Rattus norvegicus: one gene and its partner. The protein of the gene in region 1 binds, or shares a complex with, the protein of each later gene. Links are inferred from orthologs where the notes say so. Each region holds a gene or a part of one and is shown in the gene's direction. Other genes may lie near its edges.

Region 1 (9,205 bases):
GTCCATGGTCTGTCCCTACGCTGGCTCCATCTCCAGAGGGCTGGGGCTGTGGACCGCTTCTTCCTCTGTGAGAAACAGTCAGCCGTGGGCCTGCCTCACAGGTGGGTAGGGGAGGAAGCTAAGGAAATGTGAGCTGTTGCAGAGATCTGCTCAGTACTGTCTGCCGCCGCCGTCACCATTGCCACCGTCACCATGTCAACAGCACCTCACATTTCAGGAAAACTGCAGGAAGAACTGGCCTGGGTTCCTGGTAGGGACTGTCCCTCTGGTATCCCTTCAGCTGTAGGGCAGCTAGGCGAAGTGTTGGCAGGCAAAGCTGCTGAAGGAACAAATAATTCCTCAGGGTTAGGGTGACCGAAAACCATGCTGACCAATGACCAGGAAACAACTTAAGTTTTTTCTTGGTTTATTTTTGAGACAAGGTCTTGTTCGTAGAGGCCTGGTGGCCGCAGGTGTCCTTGGCTTGTAGGTACAAAACCTCAATCTTCCCCTCTGTGGTCTCCCCAATTTCTGTTCGGTTTCTACAGCGTCCAGCTAGCTACATCTGGGTTCAAATTTCCTATGTATTTAGTGCAGTGTTGGGGACTGAATGTAGGTTTTTTTTTTTTGCTTTGTTTTGTTTTATTTATTTTTTTTTTTGTTTTGTCTGCCAGGTAAGTACTCTGCCACTGAGCTATAACCCCAGGCCTCTGTTTACTTTTGTTCTAGACACTTACTTTTGATCTATGTGTATGTGTGTGTCTGTGTGAGTACCTTTGGAGGGTGGAAGAGGATGTCACCTCTCCCCAGAGCTGGACATACAAGCAATGGGTGCCGGAGACTGAACTCTGGTCTTCTGGAAGAGTAGCAAGTGCTCCAGACCACTGAGCATCCCAACCTTCTTTTCTGTTATTTTTGGGATGGGCCCAGGCTGACCTCCAACTCACTAGGTAGCTTAGGCTGATCTTACTGACTCCATCTCCTGAGTGCCAGTAACACAACGTGAAGGACCCTGGTGGTGCACACCTTTAACCCCAGCACTTGGGAGGCAGAGGCAGGCAGGTCTCTGTGAGTTCGAGGCCAGCCTAGTCTACAGAGAGTGAGCCCTACTTCTGATTCAGATCACATCCACAATAGAATTGAACTTGGAAACATTCCTTTGGGAACACACGGTGCTATACACAGGATAGAAACAAGGTAGCCCTTCAGCATTCAAGTGGTGACATGATGTGAAGCCAAGAGGGGGTGGCGTGGGAGGGTACTGGGCATTGTAGGTTCAGAAGACATTGCTGAGGAAGACCTGTGTGGGCATCTGGAGGAGAGCGCCCCAGCCAGAGGTGCAGCTGGAGCTGAGGCCTGAGGAGGGAATCTAGGAGGCTGTGGGGGGCTGGGTGGCAGTAGGAGAGGAAGTGAACGTGTGTGTGTGTGTGTGTGTGTGTGTGTGTGTGTGTGTGTGTGTGTGTGTATGTGTGTGTGTGTGTGTGTGTGTGTGTGAAGGAGATGGAGCCCATCTAACTCAGGCCTTTGTCGGCTTTGAGAGTTCAAACACCTGCCTCATGTCTTGGGTGGCCCCTTGAGTCTCAGGCTCTGGTGATTTCCCTCCTGCCTGCCAGACATCTATGCGATTGGGGTGGGTAAGCTGGATGTGGACTGGAAGGAACTGAACGAGCTGGGGTCCAAGAAGGACGGCGAGAGGCACGCCTTCATCTTGCAGGACGCAAAAGCTGTGCAGCAGGTCTTTGAGCACATTCTGGGTGAGTGAGCTTCGTGTCCCCTGCGGGGGACAGCACAGTGGGCACTCAGACGGGTGGGGGGGGGGCTCACCACGAAGCCTGGATCGGTGGCCCTCACCCCCGTCCCCTCCCATCTGGTCTTCGCCCATAGATGTCTCTAAGCTCACAGACACCATCTGTGGGGTGGGGAACATGTCCGTCAATGCCTCTGACCAGGAGAGGACACCTTGGCAAGTCACCTTTAAGGTATCAGGAAGGAGGGGCAGGGTTCGGGTCACAGAGGTTTAAAAGCAGCCAGGCACGGCAAACCCGGACTGCTGTCTCTTCCCTGCAGCCCAAGAGTAAGGAGACTTGCCAGGGGTCGCTTATCTCTGACCAGTGGGTGCTGACTGCGGCTCACTGCTTCCATGACGCTCAGATGGAGGACCGCCACCTGTGGAGGGTCATCGTGGGTAAGTCAGGGGCTGCAGGGGACCGACCCCTCACCCGCAAGGCCAGAGTCACCACTGTCTCTCCTCAGCCTTTGGTCCGGTCTAACCCACTGCTGTTCTCAGGGGATCCCACCTCTCATCACGGCAAAGAATTCCATGTGGAGGAGGTGTTAGTTGCCCCTGGGTTTAATGTCCACGCAAAGCAGAGCCAGGGCATCTCGGAGTTCTACGCTGATGACATTGCCCTGCTGAAGCTGTCTCAGAGAGTGAAAATGTCCAGCCACGCCAGGTGCGTGGACCTAGGTGGGAGGGTACCCTAGAGAGGGCAGTGCTCTGGAAAGCACCAGAGGGCACAGGGAGGATGGGCCTGTCTGACGCTCGCTCGCCTTTCTCCCAGGCCCATCTGCCTTCCTTGCACAGTGGGGGCCAACATGGCTCTGCGGAGATCCCCAGGTAGTACCTGTAAAGACCATGGTGAGTGCTGGAGGCTTGAGGTCCTTGGTGGGTTGCGCCAGAGCTTGCTTGCGGGGTGCCAGCAGGGGTGGGGGGGGCTGCAGTCCTCGAGCTGGACACATCAGCTCTGGGTAAAGAGACCTGTATCGACATCCCCCTTCTCCCCGACGGCAGAGACAGAACTTCTGTCACAGCAGAAGGTTCCTGCGCATTTCGTAGCTCTGAACGGGAACAGAATGAACATCAACCTCAGGACAGGACCTGAGGTGAGAGCTCAGTGAGGGATGCTGGGATACTCTGGGGGGGGGGGCAGCTCCTAGAGTGTCCGGCCCTGTTTGGAGTCGGACCTCGCTGGTCTGCCTAATGTCTCCTGGCACGTCCCCATTCTTCTCTCCTGTGCCCCACGCTGCAGAGGACAAGCTGTATCGAGGCTGTCTCCCAAAACAAGGGCAGCTTCCCCGGCTTGACAAACGTCAGTGAGGTGGTGACAGACCAGTTCCTATGTAGCGGGATGGAGGGAGATGACAGTCCTTGCAAAGGTTAGTCTGGTCCCGGACTTCCAGGGAGAAAGAAGGCTGTGGTGTCCCCGTGGTCAGCACTCACTCTGAATACTAACTAGTGTGCTGTCCTGGACAATGCCGCCCTTTCTTTCTCTGCAGGAGAATCCGGGGGAGCCGTTTTCCTTGAGCGGAGGTACAGGTTTTTCCAGGTGAGAAGCAGGATCTGGAGAGGGGACTCACTGCCAGGATACAAGTGCTTTCTTGCTGGCAGCAGGTGGGAGGCCTTTGAGGGGAACCAGAGAGGTGGAGGCTTGGAGTGGGGCTGCCTTTATCTCCTCATGTTGTCTCTTCCCTCCAGGTGGGCCTGGTGAGTTGGGGTCTTTTTGACCCTTGTCACGGTTCCTCCAACAAAAACTTGCGCAGGAAGCCTCCGCATGGCGTTGTGCCTAGGGACTTCCACATCAGTCTCTTCCGGCTGCAGCCCTGGTTGAGGCAGCACCTGGATGGTGTCCTCGACTTTTTGCCCCTTTAACACGGTCACCGACTCCTTTGCTGGTCTGTCCCTCCTGTCTTCTGCCTCTGAGTGTTCTTGCTCCCAGGTACATAAATCCTGGAACGCAGAGACAAAAGCTAGGAATCCCCAGGGTTGTGCCAGAACCACTGTGCCCTCCCGAGAAGCAAGTGTCTCTCTAGTGTGGATGACCCGTGCTCCTTTTGCTTTCACACAGAATTTCCCAGTTATGAAATTAATAAAAATCAATGATTTCCACATCCGGTCTGTCTTATGTCTTGGGGGTGGGGAGGCCAGGAAGGTTCCAGGAAGGTCAGAGACCCTGCTGCACAAACAGTGGCTGGACTCTGCCCCATCACACAGCCCGGGGAAAACTGGTCTCTAAGTGGGGGGTGGCGGTGGGGGTGGTCTGGGCTTGTTACTAGGGTCTGGGGGCTAAGAGGGAGCTCTGAAAGGGAAGTTCTGGCCCTTGGTCAGTAAAGGGTGGGGCGCTCGCATAGTTTCTGTTTCCTCAGTTGGCAGCTCAGCAGGGGCCCTCCTTCATGAATGTTCCGGGAAGCAGCGTCTGTGCAGGGTAGGTTGGCCAGGCTGCAGGTGCCAGAGCAGATTGCATAAAAGGTTAGGGGCCGGTGGGAAAGGGGTGTAGCCAGATCCAGCACTGGAGTTTCAGTCTGGACAGCAAGTCAAGTAGCCACCCAGAGTGAACTGGAAAGGGCTTTTGGCCACGGGCTTTCCATGACAATGGAGGGTCCCCAGCTCTGCTTAGTCCTCTTGGTCTTAGGCCTCTCCTCCGGAGGTAAGCAAAGGACACTCCATCCTCTTTTTGTCCTCATCAGCTGTCTTTGGTCTTCTGGGGCCAGGCTTCACCAGCCTTTCTCCTCAGGTGTGAGCGCAACTCCAGTGCTTGAGGCCCGGCCCCAGGTCTCTTGCTCTCTGGAGGGAGTAGAGATCAAAGGCGGCTCCTTCCAACTTCTCCAAGACGGTCAGGCCCTGGAGTACCTGTGTCCCTCTGGCTTCTACCCATACCCTGTGCAGACTCGAACCTGCAAATCCACAGGCTCCTGGAGTGTCCTCCAGACCCGGGACCAAAAGATTGTCAAGAAGGCAGAATGCAGAGGTTGGGGGTTTGGGAGTGTGGCGGTGGGTGGCTGGTCAGAGCTGATGGAGGCTGTTCAGTGCCTGGCAGTCTGACCTGTGGGCCGGCTGAGCGTGGAAACACCTCGGGGGTTGGGGGTGCGTGTACGAAGGCTTTCCTCAGGCAGTGAAAACAATACTGGGAAACAGGGCAAGGGAGTCTGGAGATGTAGATCAGCTGGGAGAGTGCTCGCCTGCCGTGCATAAAGCAATGCTGTGCGAAGCAGGAGCAGGGGTGGCGCCCGCAATCCTAACGCTCAGGACATGGGGCCAGGAGGGGGACAAATTCAGTCATCTTCAGCTCCATAGCCAGTTTGAAGCCAGCCTGGGTTACATGAGCCCGTGTCTCAGAACAAAACAAAATAATCCCACAACACAAGAGGAGGGGACAGCAGGGTTGAGGGGACTGGGCAGGTACTGTTTCTCAGTGACAGGATTTCTAAGAGCAGGAAGGACCTAGAAACAGCTCTTGGTGACTTTTACCTGTCTCCCCTAAAGCAATACGCTGCCCACGACCACAGGACTTTGAAAATGGGGAGTTCTGGCCCCGGTCCCCCTACTACAACCTGAGTGATCAGATTTCTTTTCAATGCTATGATGGCTACACTCTCCGGGGCTCTGCTAATCGCACCTGCCAAGAGAATGGCCGGTGGGATGGGCAAACAGCAATCTGTGATGATGGAGGTGAGAACCAGGTCACCCCTGATTTTACTCCCTGCTGGAGGGCTTCACCGTGGGAATGCACGAGCACTCAAATTGTCTTCATGTCTCTGCAGCGGGATACTGTCCCAACCCGGGTATTCCTATTGGGACAAGGAAGGTGGGAAGCCAGTACCGTCTTGAAGACACTGTCACTTACCACTGTAGTCGGGGACTTGTCCTACGTGGCTCCCAGCAGCGAAGGTGCCAGGAAGGTGGCTCGTGGAGTGGGACAGAGCCTTCCTGCCAAGGTGACCCTTGACCTGCTTCCTGGGTTGGCTCTTGCCCTGTTGGCTCCACACTAGAAGTCTCTGGTCCTGAAATCCCATCACCCTGTCAGTACGTCCTCAGTACTCCAGACATCTGATCTACTCTGATCATCCCTAGATTCCTTCATGTACGACAGCCCTCAAGAGGTGGCCGAAGCATTTCTATCCTCCCTGACAGAGACCATCGAAGGAGCAGATGCGGAGGATGGGCACAGCCCAGGTTTGAATACAAGGAGGGAGGTTGAGCAGGAAGCTCAGGGAAGGGTGGGTGGCCTGCCAGGTACTGCACATGCCAGAGACTGAGACTCTGCTGGTACCTAGGGGAACAGCAGAAGAGGAAGATTATCCTGGACCCCTCGGGCTCCATGAATATCTACATGGTGCTGGATGGATCCGACAGCATCGGGGCCAGCAACTTCACAGGGGCCAAGCGGTGTCTCGCCAACTTGATTGAGAAGGTAGATCACAGCTTCCATCCCTTTGGAATAAGGGGAGCTTGTGTGGACTCCACTGCTCTTACAAGACTGGTTTCCTGTGTCTCCAGATTCTCTGGGTCCGAGTCCTGTTGTCCTCCAGCCTTCTCCCTGTCTCAGTAGGAGTGCTGACTACCCACCATAGTTTTAACACAATGGCCTCTTGCTCATGCACAGGTGGCGAGTTATGGGGTGAAGCCAAGATACGGTCTAGTGACATATGCCACAGTCCCCAAAGTCTTGGTCAGAGTGTCTGAGGAGAGGAGTAGTGATGCCGACTGGGTCACAGAGAAGCTCAACCAAATCAGTTATGAAGGTCAGAGGTCAGGGAAGGGAAAGCCGGGAGGTGCACCTTGGGGCTGTGGTGGTCAAGAGGCTCAGGGTTCTTCTGGAGAAAGTAGACAGACTACTACTAGTTAGAGGTTGAACGAAAGTGTCCTTGAGCAATAGAGAGTGCTGGGAGAGCCAAGGGCAAGCAGGTGATCACCTAAAAGTTAAATATTGCCTGGACTTGGTGGAACAAGCCTTTAATCCCAACATGCAAAAGGCAGGTGGATCTCTGAGAGTTCAAGGCCAGCATGGTCTACATAGTAAATGTTAAAGAATGTGGGATCTTAGTTGTCATAGACTTCTGAGGGGTAATAGTGGCTTGGAAGATAAGGTCAATAACCTCCCTTTCTCTATAGACCACAAGCTGAAGTCAGGGACCAACACCAAGAAGGCTCTCCAGGCTGTATACAGCATGATGAGCTGGCCAGGGGATGCTCCGCCTGAAGGCTGGAATCGAACCCGCCACGTCATCATCATCATGACTGATGGTAAGGCCTTTCTCCTACCCCACCGTCCTCTCAAGTCCTGCACAAGTGTTTGTCTCCAGCCGGTGTATCTTCCTTGACCCACTTTCACAATCCTCCTGTTTCCACAGGCTTGCACAACATGGGTGGAGACCCTGTCACTGTCATTGAGGACATCCGAGACTTGCTGGATATTGGCAGGGATCGCAAAAATCCCCGGGAGGATTATTTGGGTGAGTGGCTCACTTGGGATCCAGCACCCTCACTCCTCAGGGCCTGGACCCTTACCCTCTCCTTCTCTCCTTCAGATGTGTATGTGTTTGGGGTCGGGCCTCTGGTGGACCCTGTGAACATCAATGCCTTGGCTTCCAAAAAGAACAATGAGCAGCATGTGTTCAAGGTCAAGGACATGGAGGATCTGGAGAACGTCTTCTACAAAATGATCGGTAGGAAAGCTCAGGCTCAAGGGTGTGGAAGGGGAAGCTGCAGGCTGAGGTCGCCAACTCCTCTCACCCTATAGCCCTTAAAACCTGGAAGGCTCACCCCATGCCTATTCTTACTTCTGACATTCACTTCCTGACTTCTCACAATCACAGAACTGATAGCCTACTTTACAGATGTGGAAACTGAGGCCAAGCACAGCAAGTCAGCACCCAGACTGTAGCTAAAAATGCTCAGTCCTCAGATTGCCTGGTCAATCTTTCTCACTACGCCATGGGGGTTCCTCATTTAACACACAAGAGCCCTCTCTCCTGCTTTCCTTCCCTCTTCTGTGCCTCTGCTGTCTACAGACATGAAGGGATCCAACAAAAGTGGCAGCAATGACAAGCCTTCAGTGTTCTTTCCCTGACAGATGAAACCAAATCTCTGGGTCTCTGTGGCATGGTGTGGGAGCATCAGAAAGGCGGTGATTATTACAAGCAACCATGGCAAGCCAAGATCTCAGTCACTGTAAGCTTCCCAGCACTGGGGACTTGGGGAGGTGAGATGTCCACACTAGCTGTAATCCTGGCTGTTCAGGAAGCTGAGGCAGGGTAGATTCATGGCCTGCTTGGGCTACAGTGAGTTCAAGGTCAATCAATTCAAAACTGACTGAAAGTGGGAAAGGAAGCTGGGCATGGGACACATCCGTGCTGGTAACCTGGCATTTGGAAGTGAGCACAGCACTGCCTTGAGTCTCAGGTTAGTCTGGGCTACACAGTAAAGCTGTGTAGATGTAATGAAGAGAAGAAAGCTGGGGCTAGTGTTCACCTAGCTTGTACGAAGCTTGTCTCCAGCGCACACACCAAGGTTAGTCTGCACTGGCTTCCTAGCGTCCTCTGAAAGGACATGAGAACTGTATGGGGGCCGTGGTGTCCGAGTACTTCGTGCTGACAGCAGCGCATTGCTTCACAGTGGAAGATCAGAAACACTCCATCAAGGTCAACGTGGGTAAGACTCTGACCTCCAGGCCCATCCTCAGGAAGCACTGACGTTATGACCTGTAGCTCACCCATTCTCAGCATGCCCCTCCCTTAAACCCTGACCAATCAAGGATGGGGAAACAGAATCCAAGAGATAAGATGGGGCCAGAGGAAGGAGGCTGCTCACATAAACATGGTTCCCATTCTCCTTCACTCAGAGGGGAAAAGGCGGGACCTGGAGATTGAAGAGGTCCTGTTCCACCCTAATTACGACATCAATGGGAAAAAGGCAGAAGGAATCTCTGAGTTCTATGACTATGATGTTGCCCTCATCAAGCTCAAGACCAAGCTGAAGTACAGCCAGACTCTCAGGTGAGTGGGGCTGGGTCCCAGAGGAACTAGGGAAGGTGGGCTGGAGCATAGGACACAACAGGCTGTCTGTGGTCCCTCACTCTACCTGTCTCCATAGGCCCATCTGTCTCCCCTGCACAGAGGGAACCACCCGAGCCTTGCGGCTTCCTCAGACAGCCACCTGCAAACAGCACAGTAAGGCATAGTCTGGGCTAAGACAAGGAGGAGACTCCCGAGACAAAGGGGCAGAGGAGGGAGCTGCAAGTGTAAACTGCTCAGTTCAGGGCCTAGCACCTAAGGGCCCAAGGGACACCTGCTAGATGAGAAGCAAGGGGACAGCTGGCATGGCCCTTTTACTTTTCCAGAGGAAGAGTTGCTCCCTATGAAGGACGTCAAAGCTCTGTTTGTATCCGAGGAAGGGAAGAAGCTGACCCGGAAGGAGGTGTACATCAAGAATGGGGAAAAGGTGATAAGA
Region 2 (9,222 bases), on another chromosome or scaffold:
ATCTCCAATTCCAGCACTCACAACGCTGAAGTAGGAGAATCACTATGCGTTCAAACCTAGCTTAGCTGCATAGTGAGTTTAAAAACCAGCCTAGGCTATAGAGTGAAAGCCTGTCTCAAAACACAACCCTGTGAATAAAGGAGTCAACATGATAAAAGGTGACTGAGAAGAAATTAATATGAGGAAGATGGTGTCTGAGGTAATGTGCTTTTGTGTGTTCAGGTGACAGTCTTCAGAGGAAACTGTAATGAACAGGCTATAAATAAAGAATTTGGGGGGATGTAACCTAAGTGGGTTTAAAGAGAAAGGAGAGAAGAAATGGTGATTGTATATGTATAAGAAACTTCATGGGACTTAGTGGTAATTACATTAGTGACTACATGTAAGAAAATGTTAGGCCAAAGGAAATAGTTCTATGATGGTGAGACTGTACAACTTGTGGTAAAACAGACCTAGTTAGAAAAAGTACTGTTGATAGTAACCCTGTGTGTGTGTGTGTGTGTGTGTGTGTGTGTGTGTCTGACTGTGACTGTATGTCTGTGTTTGACTATGACTCTTGGTAGACTAATGAAGCTGGGGATCCATGGCAGAGACAATGATAGTCTGAGCGAATGATGGTGACTGAGCCATTGTTATATAATCAAGCACATGTAACTATATATATAGCCAAATGTGGTTGTGCATGCCTGTAATCCTAGCACAGGGGAGGTAGAAGCAAGAGTATTAGGAGTTGAAGGTCATCTTTGGCTAGATAATAAATTCAGGGGCAATGTGTGCTACATAACCCTGTTATCTTAAAAAATGAACACAAAGTCACATGTAGGTCAGTTGAGATGACTCAGCAGTTAAGTGAACAAGCCACATAAACATGGAAACCTGTTTGCCATCGCCAGAACCTACATGTTGAAAGGAGAGAAGCCACCCTCAAAAGTTGTTCTCTGACCTAGTAAAATAAAAAGAGACCAGCAAGATGGCTCTGCGGGTAAAGGCACTTACTGACAAACCTGACAACCTGAGTCTAGTCCCTGGGACTCAAATGATTGGAGGAAAGAACCCACTCCTACAAACTTGTTTTCTTACACAAGTGCATGTGTGTGTGAGTGCGTGCGCGCACACACGGCGCAAACACACACACACACACACACACACACACACACACACACACACACACAGAGTAAATAAATAAATGTAATTTTTAACAAGTATGTGAGCCTGTTCCTAAGAGGCTATAGTAGAGACTATAGAAGACTAGAACTCTGTATATAGGTAATATACATGCATATATGACATGAGAATGTGATTGAAATTAAATGAAGCCATGTCTCAGAGATCACAGAATGGATGTGCCAGGACCTCCTCTCTTCTCTTTCTCCACAAGCCTCTCCAGCTGAGTCTCCTGAGTTAGTCTCCAATTCTCCAAAACTTGAAATGCTGGCCTTTACCCAGAACTCCTTCCTCATGCATTGTCTCTAGATAGCTTTATCTGGTCCTAGCACTTGAAATAGATGCTGCAAAGTGATGCCCACTTTTTTAAATATCCTCTTAGCACTTCCATATATTGATTGAGCAGATGTTTATTGTTTGTCTTCTGTTATCTCTTGCCTGTTTGTTGTCCTAAACACCTCATAGCTAACAAAATGAACAAAAGTTTCTGCCCTTCTCAATACTCAGGATTCTGAGGCAGCAGAGTTGCTAGGTGTGAGACTTGGGCTACACAGAAAGACCTTATTTTAAAACAACAGTTGTATTGAAGTCTGTCTGTGTATGTGTGTCTGTCTGTCTGTCTGTCTTTGTCTGTCTGTCTCAAGCCTGTAACCCCAGGTATTCAAGAGGGTAGCCATGAGTTCAAGGCCAACCTGAGCTAAATAGCAAGACCCTATTTCATCTCCCTTCCCGTTTTTTAATTAAAAAAAAAAAGACTTCCTTTGTTGGGTTGATACTCAGGGAAACTGACAGAACAGATAAGTAAATTCTATCAGGCAATAATAAATAAAACCAGACTCTCATTCTTTGTTTAAATAAGCAATCTGAAGTCATTTGAGTACCTTAGAAGTACGTGGGAAAAAAACTGTTGATACCCTTCATCCACAGGGGCTATGAGGATATATGCTGTGTAGGAACAAAAGAAATATCAATTCTAACATTAGTGAGGCAAAAGGTGATTGAATAATGCATTCAGAAAGAATTGCAGTCTAGTTTTTTACAAGATAATAGCACCCACAGCTATAGTCATGGAATCTTAACAAGATTCCTTTGTTCAATGCATACAGAGACAAATATACTCTCAGAGAACAAGGTACTTCTGTGGTGGATATTAACAGAATAATATTGTTTTAATAATAACAGGATAATAGTAACAAATTTTATCACCCCTACCCAAATCAAGTGCAGATTATTGAGGGACTTCTATTTTAATTCTGATCAACTTATTTTATCTTTTTTTTTTTTTCCGGAGCTGGGGACCGAACCCAGGGCCTTGCGGTTGCTAGGCAAGCACTCTACCTCTGAGCCAAATCCCCAACCCTTTTTTTTTAACTTATTTTATCTTAATTCAATTTGTAGACTGGTGCTCATCTGTGACTGCAAGAGAACAAGTGTCATCTTTCTTAAGCTCATTTTTGTGGATTATCAAGAGTGTTGTTTTTATTTATTTCTTTATTTTTGTGACCCTGGGAATCAAACCCAAGGTCCAGCTCATACTAGGTAGACAGTCTACCACTAAACTACATCCCCAGGGCACAAAGGTGCTGTTTTTACAGCAGATTCTACAGTTTCGCTCATTGAGGCTTGTTTTAAAAAAATTAAAAGCGGGTCTGTGGAGCTCAGATTTTCTTTGGGGAAAATGGGCTGAAGATGGATCAGTCACTAACACACTAACAGTGAAACAAGGCACTGTAAATTTTCTAGATATGACCCACCAAAAAAACTAAAAAGGGACCAGGGACCAAAATAGTGGTTCTCAAAACGTTCTTCCAAACAATATCAGTGTCTCCTGGGAATTTGTTAGACATCTGTTAATTTGTTAACCACACCTGCTGAATGAGCAACAGGTAGGATCCAACAATATGCAGTTGGATCAAGAAGCCCTATTAGTGATTCTTGTGTGTCCTAAGGCTAGAGAGTATTGGCACCCAAGAGGGGTCACAGGAGACCTTTGTGAAAAATTTTTACTGCTAGTTTCCCCTTGTAGAGTAAGTCCTTCAGAGGCAGTGATTTTTTTTCTGTCTCGTTAGAGAGCCATGTAATGCTGAGAACACTCAGTAGGTGCTCAATAACTGTTGAACAAACCAGTTTACTAAACACAGCCAGGCTGTGTAGCCAAGGATAGCCTTGAATTTCTGATCCTCTTGCCTCTACACTCCCCCACCCAAGTTGCTAATTTAAATGGTGCTAAGGAACAAACCAAGGGTTTCGTTAATGCTATGCTATCACTCTACCAACTGAGCTACACCTCTAACCTTTAAAAGGTTTTATTACATTTATTTAATTGAGGCGCTGCACATATGAGCCACAGCGCACATGTCAGAGGACAACTTGAGGAAGTCAGTTCTCTCCTTTATCCATGTGAGCCCTAGGAATTAAACCCAGGTCAACAAGTTTTGCAGCAAGCACCTTAACTGAGCATTCTCACCTCTACCCTGCCCCTTTTTAAATTTTATTTTTCAGACAGAATCCCACAAAAATCAGCCAGGGTAGCCTTGAACTCACACTGTAGCCTTGAACTTTCTTTCTGCTTGTTTCAACCTCCAAAGCAGCTAAGACTATAGGACTATACCTTTCAGGGTCCTGCTTGTGGGCACATTTTACAATAAAGGAAACAGGCTCAGAAGAGAATATTATCTGCCCTGGGTACTCTAATAGACTATGGCCCAGCTCTTTGTCTTTTCTCTATCCCTGTAGACTCTAAGGGTTTCTTCAGATGCACCCTCACACACCCTAGGCAATGTGTATGCCTGAACCTCCCCTATTCTGAATCGCTTCCCACACAATGCCACTTCCCTTTTTCACTTCCCTTGCATTGACCTCCCACACATACATGCTGACCACAGGAACCTCACTTTTAGGAAAGGGTTAGGCTTTCAAAATGGTAGTTAAAGTAGCTGCCCTGATGCCTTCTCCTTGACAGACTGACAAGGGCTTCCTTCATTTCACCCTTCTTCAGAAGCCCCATGAAATTGACCACTATAGTCAAGATTATATGAGCCACCCAAGGTGTTACTTGCCTGTTCAAGGCCAGCCTGGTGTACAAAGCAAATTTCAGGTGTGGCTATGTTGCAAAACCTTATCTCAAAAAAAAAAAAAAAAAAAGGAAAACCAAAGCTGAGAATTTAAAGTGACTTGCCAAGCCAAAGTTGACACACACCTAGGTGGTTATTGCTTCAGACTTTCAGGCTCCAGTGCCCTTTAGTGAGAATTTGTCTCCAAAGCATTGACTGAAAACTAAGATTTCTGGGTGGCGTGGGGTATTAGGTGACAAAGACTGAGTGACCAAGCAGGATCAAGGGTGACTCAGGAAATGGAGAGGGGAGAAAAGAGGAGGTAGAGTGCTCAAGGAAGAGGTCAGAGTTAAGGGGCCATACCCTCCCAGTTCCTCCTGCCCTGGGTTCCTCTTTCCAGAGCAGGTCAGTCCAGACAAAACCAAAGCCTCCTCTCTGTGAGGAGTGCAGAAACATAGTGTTCACAATGCCCGTTGGAATGCAAGCCCCTCAGTGGCTCCTGCTCCTATTGCTTATCCTGCCAACCACAGGTAAGTGGATAAGGGCCCACATGTCCTCCCAGGGATGTCCAGGCCGACCATACTCCTGATTGCCCATTCCTCTCCTCTGAAGGCTCAGACCCTGTGCTCTGCTTCACCCAGTATGAGGAGCCCTCTGGCAGGTGCAAAGGCCTACTTGGAAGAGACATCAGGGTGGAAGATTGCTGTCTCAACACTGCCTATGCCTTCCAGGAACATGATGGGGGCCTCTGTCAGTCATGCAGGTTTGGAGGAACCTAGGCTGAGCCCTATAATATAAAACTATACTCTCTGCCCTGGAGCTTCTAAGAGTGCCCCTCCCCCCACAAGCCCTCCTTATAACCATAGCTCAGGGTTTAAAAATCTTGGCACTGTTGCTTGGAGCTCTTTGTTGGGGGTATGAGCTCTTAGCTGTGCACTGTTTAGTAGTTTATAACATACCTGACCTTTTCCTAAATGTTTTTAATAACTCTCTGCACCGATTAATAGTGGGAATAGGGGTGTCTTTGTGCTTGGGACACTTCCTCCTCCTGGGTTGCTTCATCTAGCCTTGATATAAGGATTTGTGCCTGGTCTTAATTACATCTTCTTATGCCATGTTTGGTTGCTATCCCTGGAAAGCCTACATTTTTCTGAAGGGGAAGAGGAGGAATGGATCTGTGGAAGAAAGGAGGTTATGGTGAGGGGTACTGGGAGGAATGAAGAGAAGGAAAACTACAGTTAGGCTGTATTGTATGAGAGAAGATTTTTTTTAAATAACTGAATCCAGACACTGTGAAACGTCCCTTAGGAGAGACAAAATTAACCCTGATTTAAAAGTACTTTAAAAGTCAGGACTTCCTGTAAACATTGTGGGTGGAGTGCAACTTAGATATTTTTGATGGTGGCTTCATTCTCCTAACTTACAACAGATCATATTTGAATGCTTATCATATATAAAAGCATCATAGAAATGGAGGACTTTAGGGAAATTCTGAGGGCAATGCCAAATCTTTAATTCTGATGATTGTGCAATTCTTTTGTGGCAATTTGATCTCTGAAAGCACCATGAATCTCCTAATTATGACTTCCAGTTTACGTATGTTGAGCCTTACTATACTATAGATATATTTTATGACTGCTTACTATATATTCCAGATAACATTGTAAAGATGATGGGTTTGAAGATCTTGGAGAGCAGCTCTGGACCATTTATCATGCTAACAGTTCATGTCTCTTTAACACTGGCATGTACATACCCATATTAGCATGCAAACCCAGTCAGTCCTGTGCAGAAGCAAAGTGTATCGCTAGGATGTTTCTGAAGGAACTTCTGAACTTCTGTTTACTAAGTACTTCCTCTCTGCCTGATACTCTACAGGGTAGTGACCTATTGAGTTCCTGGCAGAAGTTCTGGGTTTTTTAGTCCTTAAATTTGCTTACTGTACATCTTCTGGCTTTGACCCTGGGGGGTTTCCAGGGCCCTTGCTATGAAGCGAAATGAAATTTATCATATATTTCCTGTATATTTACTTCTTCATGTTCAATCACCCACCATCCCTAAGTGGTAAGTCGGCTCTCAATGATGTATCCTGTCACTTCATACCAGGAGAGAACATAGGCTCCTCTTCACAGGTCCCCACAATGGTCAGCATGGTCCTCATGGGGGCCCTGCTCAGTTACATGCTCTGAGGGGTCCCAGCTGCGACACAGGCGCTGTGTGGGTAGGGGTGGACAGTGCTCTGAGAAGGCGGCTCCTGGAACTCTTGAGTGGCAGCTACAGGCCTGTGAGGATCAGCTATGCTGTCCAGGTAAGGAAGATGAGCAATGTGGACATGGACACAGCCCCCCCCTCCCCCCCCCGCTCCAGAAGAATCAGTATAGAGGCCCTGAGGACAGACCTTGTATGGCTTTAAGGGGAATGGAGGAGGCTAAGATTGCTGAAGGAGGATTTTCAAAAGTGAAGACATTGGCTTTAGTCTGAATGGTTTGGTTTATGGGATGGGGAGGAATTCGCTTTGACTGAATTTGGGAAGAGGGCAGGCCAAATGTGGAGCAGAGGGAAGAGTATGAAGGCTACCATAGTCCAGATGAGCAGTACTGCCAGGCCAGGTATAGGGAAAAGACATAGGACAGGATAAGATGATGTGGGACATACATGAAAGGAAGGAATCCTAGGTTGCCATCCCCACTTCCTTCTCTTTTTTCTTCCACAGAGATGGGTGGCTGGTCTGAGTGGGGACCCTGGGGGCCTTGCTCTGTCACCTGCTCCAAAGGAACCCAGACCCGTCAACGACTATGTGATAATCCTGCTCCTAAGTGTGGAGGCCATTGCCCCGGAGAGGCCCAGCAATCACAGGCCTGTGACACTCAGAAGATCTGCCCCAGTGAGTAAGAGTAGCAGGACATAGAAGGGATATCTAGAATGTTGGGCTACAGCCAGAAACTGCCAGGGAGAAAAGACTTTTATGCATGCTTGACCAGAGCTCATCCTTCTACTCTGACCACAGCACATGGGGCCTGGGCATCCTGGGGCCCCTGGAGCGCCTGCTCAGGATCATGCCTTGGCGGAGCTCAAGAACCTAAGGAGACACGAAGCCGCTCATGTTCTGCACCAGCACCTTCACACCAACCCCCTGGGAAGCCCTGCTCAGGAACAGCCTATGAGCATCGGGGCTGTAGTGGCCTACCACCTTGCCCAGGTATGCAGGGATGAGGCCATTGGCATGTAGCTAGTGGGGCTTTGGATTTCTGGCAAAGATGGTGTGCCATTTGAGGGAATGGAATTTCTTGTACCATGTGATGAGAAGCCTATCATCTGCAGACAATTTGCCTCAATGTCTAGAGGTGACATGGAAGGAAACTAGGGAGTATGCATGATTACAGTGGCTTTATTTTAACTTTCTTTCCTACTCCAACAGTGGCTGGTGGCTGGGGACCATGGGGCCCTTCAAGTCCCTGCCCGGTGACTTGTGGCCTGGGCCAGACCCTAGAACGACGGACATGTGATCACCCTGTACCCCGTCATGGGGGCCCCTTTTGTGCTGGTGATGCCACTCGGAAACACGTCTGTAACACAGCCATGCCTTGCCCTGGTTAGCAAGTCAAGAGGCACCATGCCCATGCCTAAGCCCCCTGCCCATCACTGCTGCCCACTTCTTGCTGCCAAAACCTTGTTCCTGCATGATTCTCCTCTTCCTGCCCCCATACCCTGGTTCACCTCTCTGCCTTCATCCCTACATCTGTTCACTCCCACTCCCTCCCAAAGCCTTCTTCAGTCCTTCCCCTGAAGCTCTTTACTGGCTACAAACCCTCTTACTCCTTGCCTCTACAGTAAATGGAGAGTGGGAGGCCTGGGGAAAATGGAGTCACTGCAGCCGTGTGAGAATGAAGTCCATCAGCTGTGATGAAATCCCAGGCCAGCAGTCACGTTCAAGGAGCTGTGGTGGCCGCAAATTTGATGGGCAGCCATGTACTGGGAAACTCCAAGATATTCGACACTGCTATGACATCCATAACTGTGTCTGTGAGTGACCCACAGGCAGCACAGTGAGAGTGGACAACCATGTAGTAGCTATGCTGGGTACCCTATGCCCCTTCAGTCTCCTTTTCTCATTGAGACCTCCAGTTTTGACTATATGACATTCTACTACCCATTGCCATTGCAGTGAAAGGTTCATGGTCACAGTGGAGTACCTGGGGTCTGTGCACACCACCATGTGGACCCAACCCCACCCGTGTCCGTCAGCGACTCTGCACACCTTTGCTCCCCAAGTACTCGTGAGTTGGGGAACATTGTGTTTCTAGGAGGGGGTCATGATGCTGAAGGATATGAGGGGAATTGGTTATACTGAACTGGAGCTTAGCCCCTGGATCAAAAGTGCCTACCTTGCCAGTGCCATCTCCTACCTTAGAGAAGAGGAGAGAAACAAAAGAAAGAGGAGAAGCAATTAGGGAAGACTTCACAGCCTCAGTTTCTAATGCAGCCACCTAGCTGGACTCCCATGCACACAATCCTTCATGTGGCCTTCTCACTGACCTCTTAGCATACTTTTGAGTTACTCAGTCATCCATGCCCTCCATTTATCCACTCCACATTTCACTACCTTGAAGTACTCCAAGGCCTTTCTAGCAACACTCACTAAAAAAGAACCCAAATCTATGGGTAGAAGGTACCCAGGTGAGTTGTGATAAAATGCATATAAAAATGACAGGTGAGTAGCAATGAGACTTGCACTACCCTCTGGACCTAGAAAACTAATTAGGCCTTTCTGGAGAAGCCTTCCTGACATCCAGATAGTGAGCAGGTTCTAGACAGAGCTGATTAGCCACCTTCAGTGTTTACTGGACACCACAGTGGCCCAGGAGTTAGAAAGGGTTAAGTTACCCATCCCTTCTTACACCACATAAATAAGGTTAAATGGTCTTTTTCCAGCTGTTAAGTGGCCTATCACTGGGATAGGATTTTCCAGATGTGGGGGATCAGACTGGTTCCTGAAGTTAGGAAC

What was found.
Region 2: the proteins of Cfb (region 1) and Cfp are in contact, whole or in part, in a crystal structure (PDB 7NOZ), measured with the Homo sapiens proteins. The link is inferred for Rattus norvegicus from reciprocal best matches to the Homo sapiens genes CFB and CFP. Residues at the interface, in NP_001701.2 of Homo sapiens: Glu54, Gln56, Ser78, Thr316, Tyr317, Leu349, Ser351, Met394; in NP_001138724.1 of Homo sapiens: Arg329, Arg330, Asn331, Lys333, Pro341, Met420, Val421.

What each region holds. Positions count from the first base shown.
Region 1 is NC_086038.1:3,971,140-3,980,344, forward strand, and holds the start of Cfb (complement factor B precursor), read left to right. Parts: upstream 1-4,131; 5' UTR 4,132-4,342; coding exon 4,343-4,403; intron 4,404-4,490; coding exon 4,491-4,724; intron 4,725-5,239; coding exon 5,240-5,425; intron 5,426-5,517; coding exon 5,518-5,691; intron 5,692-5,827; coding exon 5,828-5,929; intron 5,930-6,030; coding exon 6,031-6,167; intron 6,168-6,359; coding exon 6,360-6,498; intron 6,499-6,868; coding exon 6,869-7,000; intron 7,001-7,107; coding exon 7,108-7,209; intron 7,210-7,284; coding exon 7,285-7,422; intron 7,423-7,829; coding exon 7,830-7,927; intron 7,928-8,289; coding exon 8,290-8,407; intron 8,408-8,597; coding exon 8,598-8,751; intron 8,752-8,848; coding exon 8,849-8,925; intron 8,926-9,095; coding exon 9,096-9,196; intron 9,197-9,205. Other genes in the region: complement C2, read left to right, coding at 1,593-1,733, 1,864-1,958, 2,047-2,164, 2,267-2,432, 2,541-2,617, 2,771-2,862, 3,009-3,135, 3,256-3,305 and 1 more.
Region 2 is NC_086039.1:3,710,887-3,720,108, forward strand, and holds the start of Cfp (properdin precursor), read left to right. Parts: upstream 1-4,664; 5' UTR 4,665-4,683; coding exon 4,684-4,747; intron 4,748-4,829; coding exon 4,830-4,980; intron 4,981-6,349; coding exon 6,350-6,525; intron 6,526-6,930; coding exon 6,931-7,101; intron 7,102-7,224; coding exon 7,225-7,416; intron 7,417-7,635; coding exon 7,636-7,809; intron 7,810-8,048; coding exon 8,049-8,240; intron 8,241-8,382; coding exon 8,383-8,494; intron 8,495-9,222. UniProt on the Homo sapiens protein: A positive regulator of the alternate pathway (AP) of complement. It binds to and stabilizes the C3- and C5-convertase enzyme complexes. Inhibits CFI-CFH mediated degradation of Complement C3 beta chain (C3b).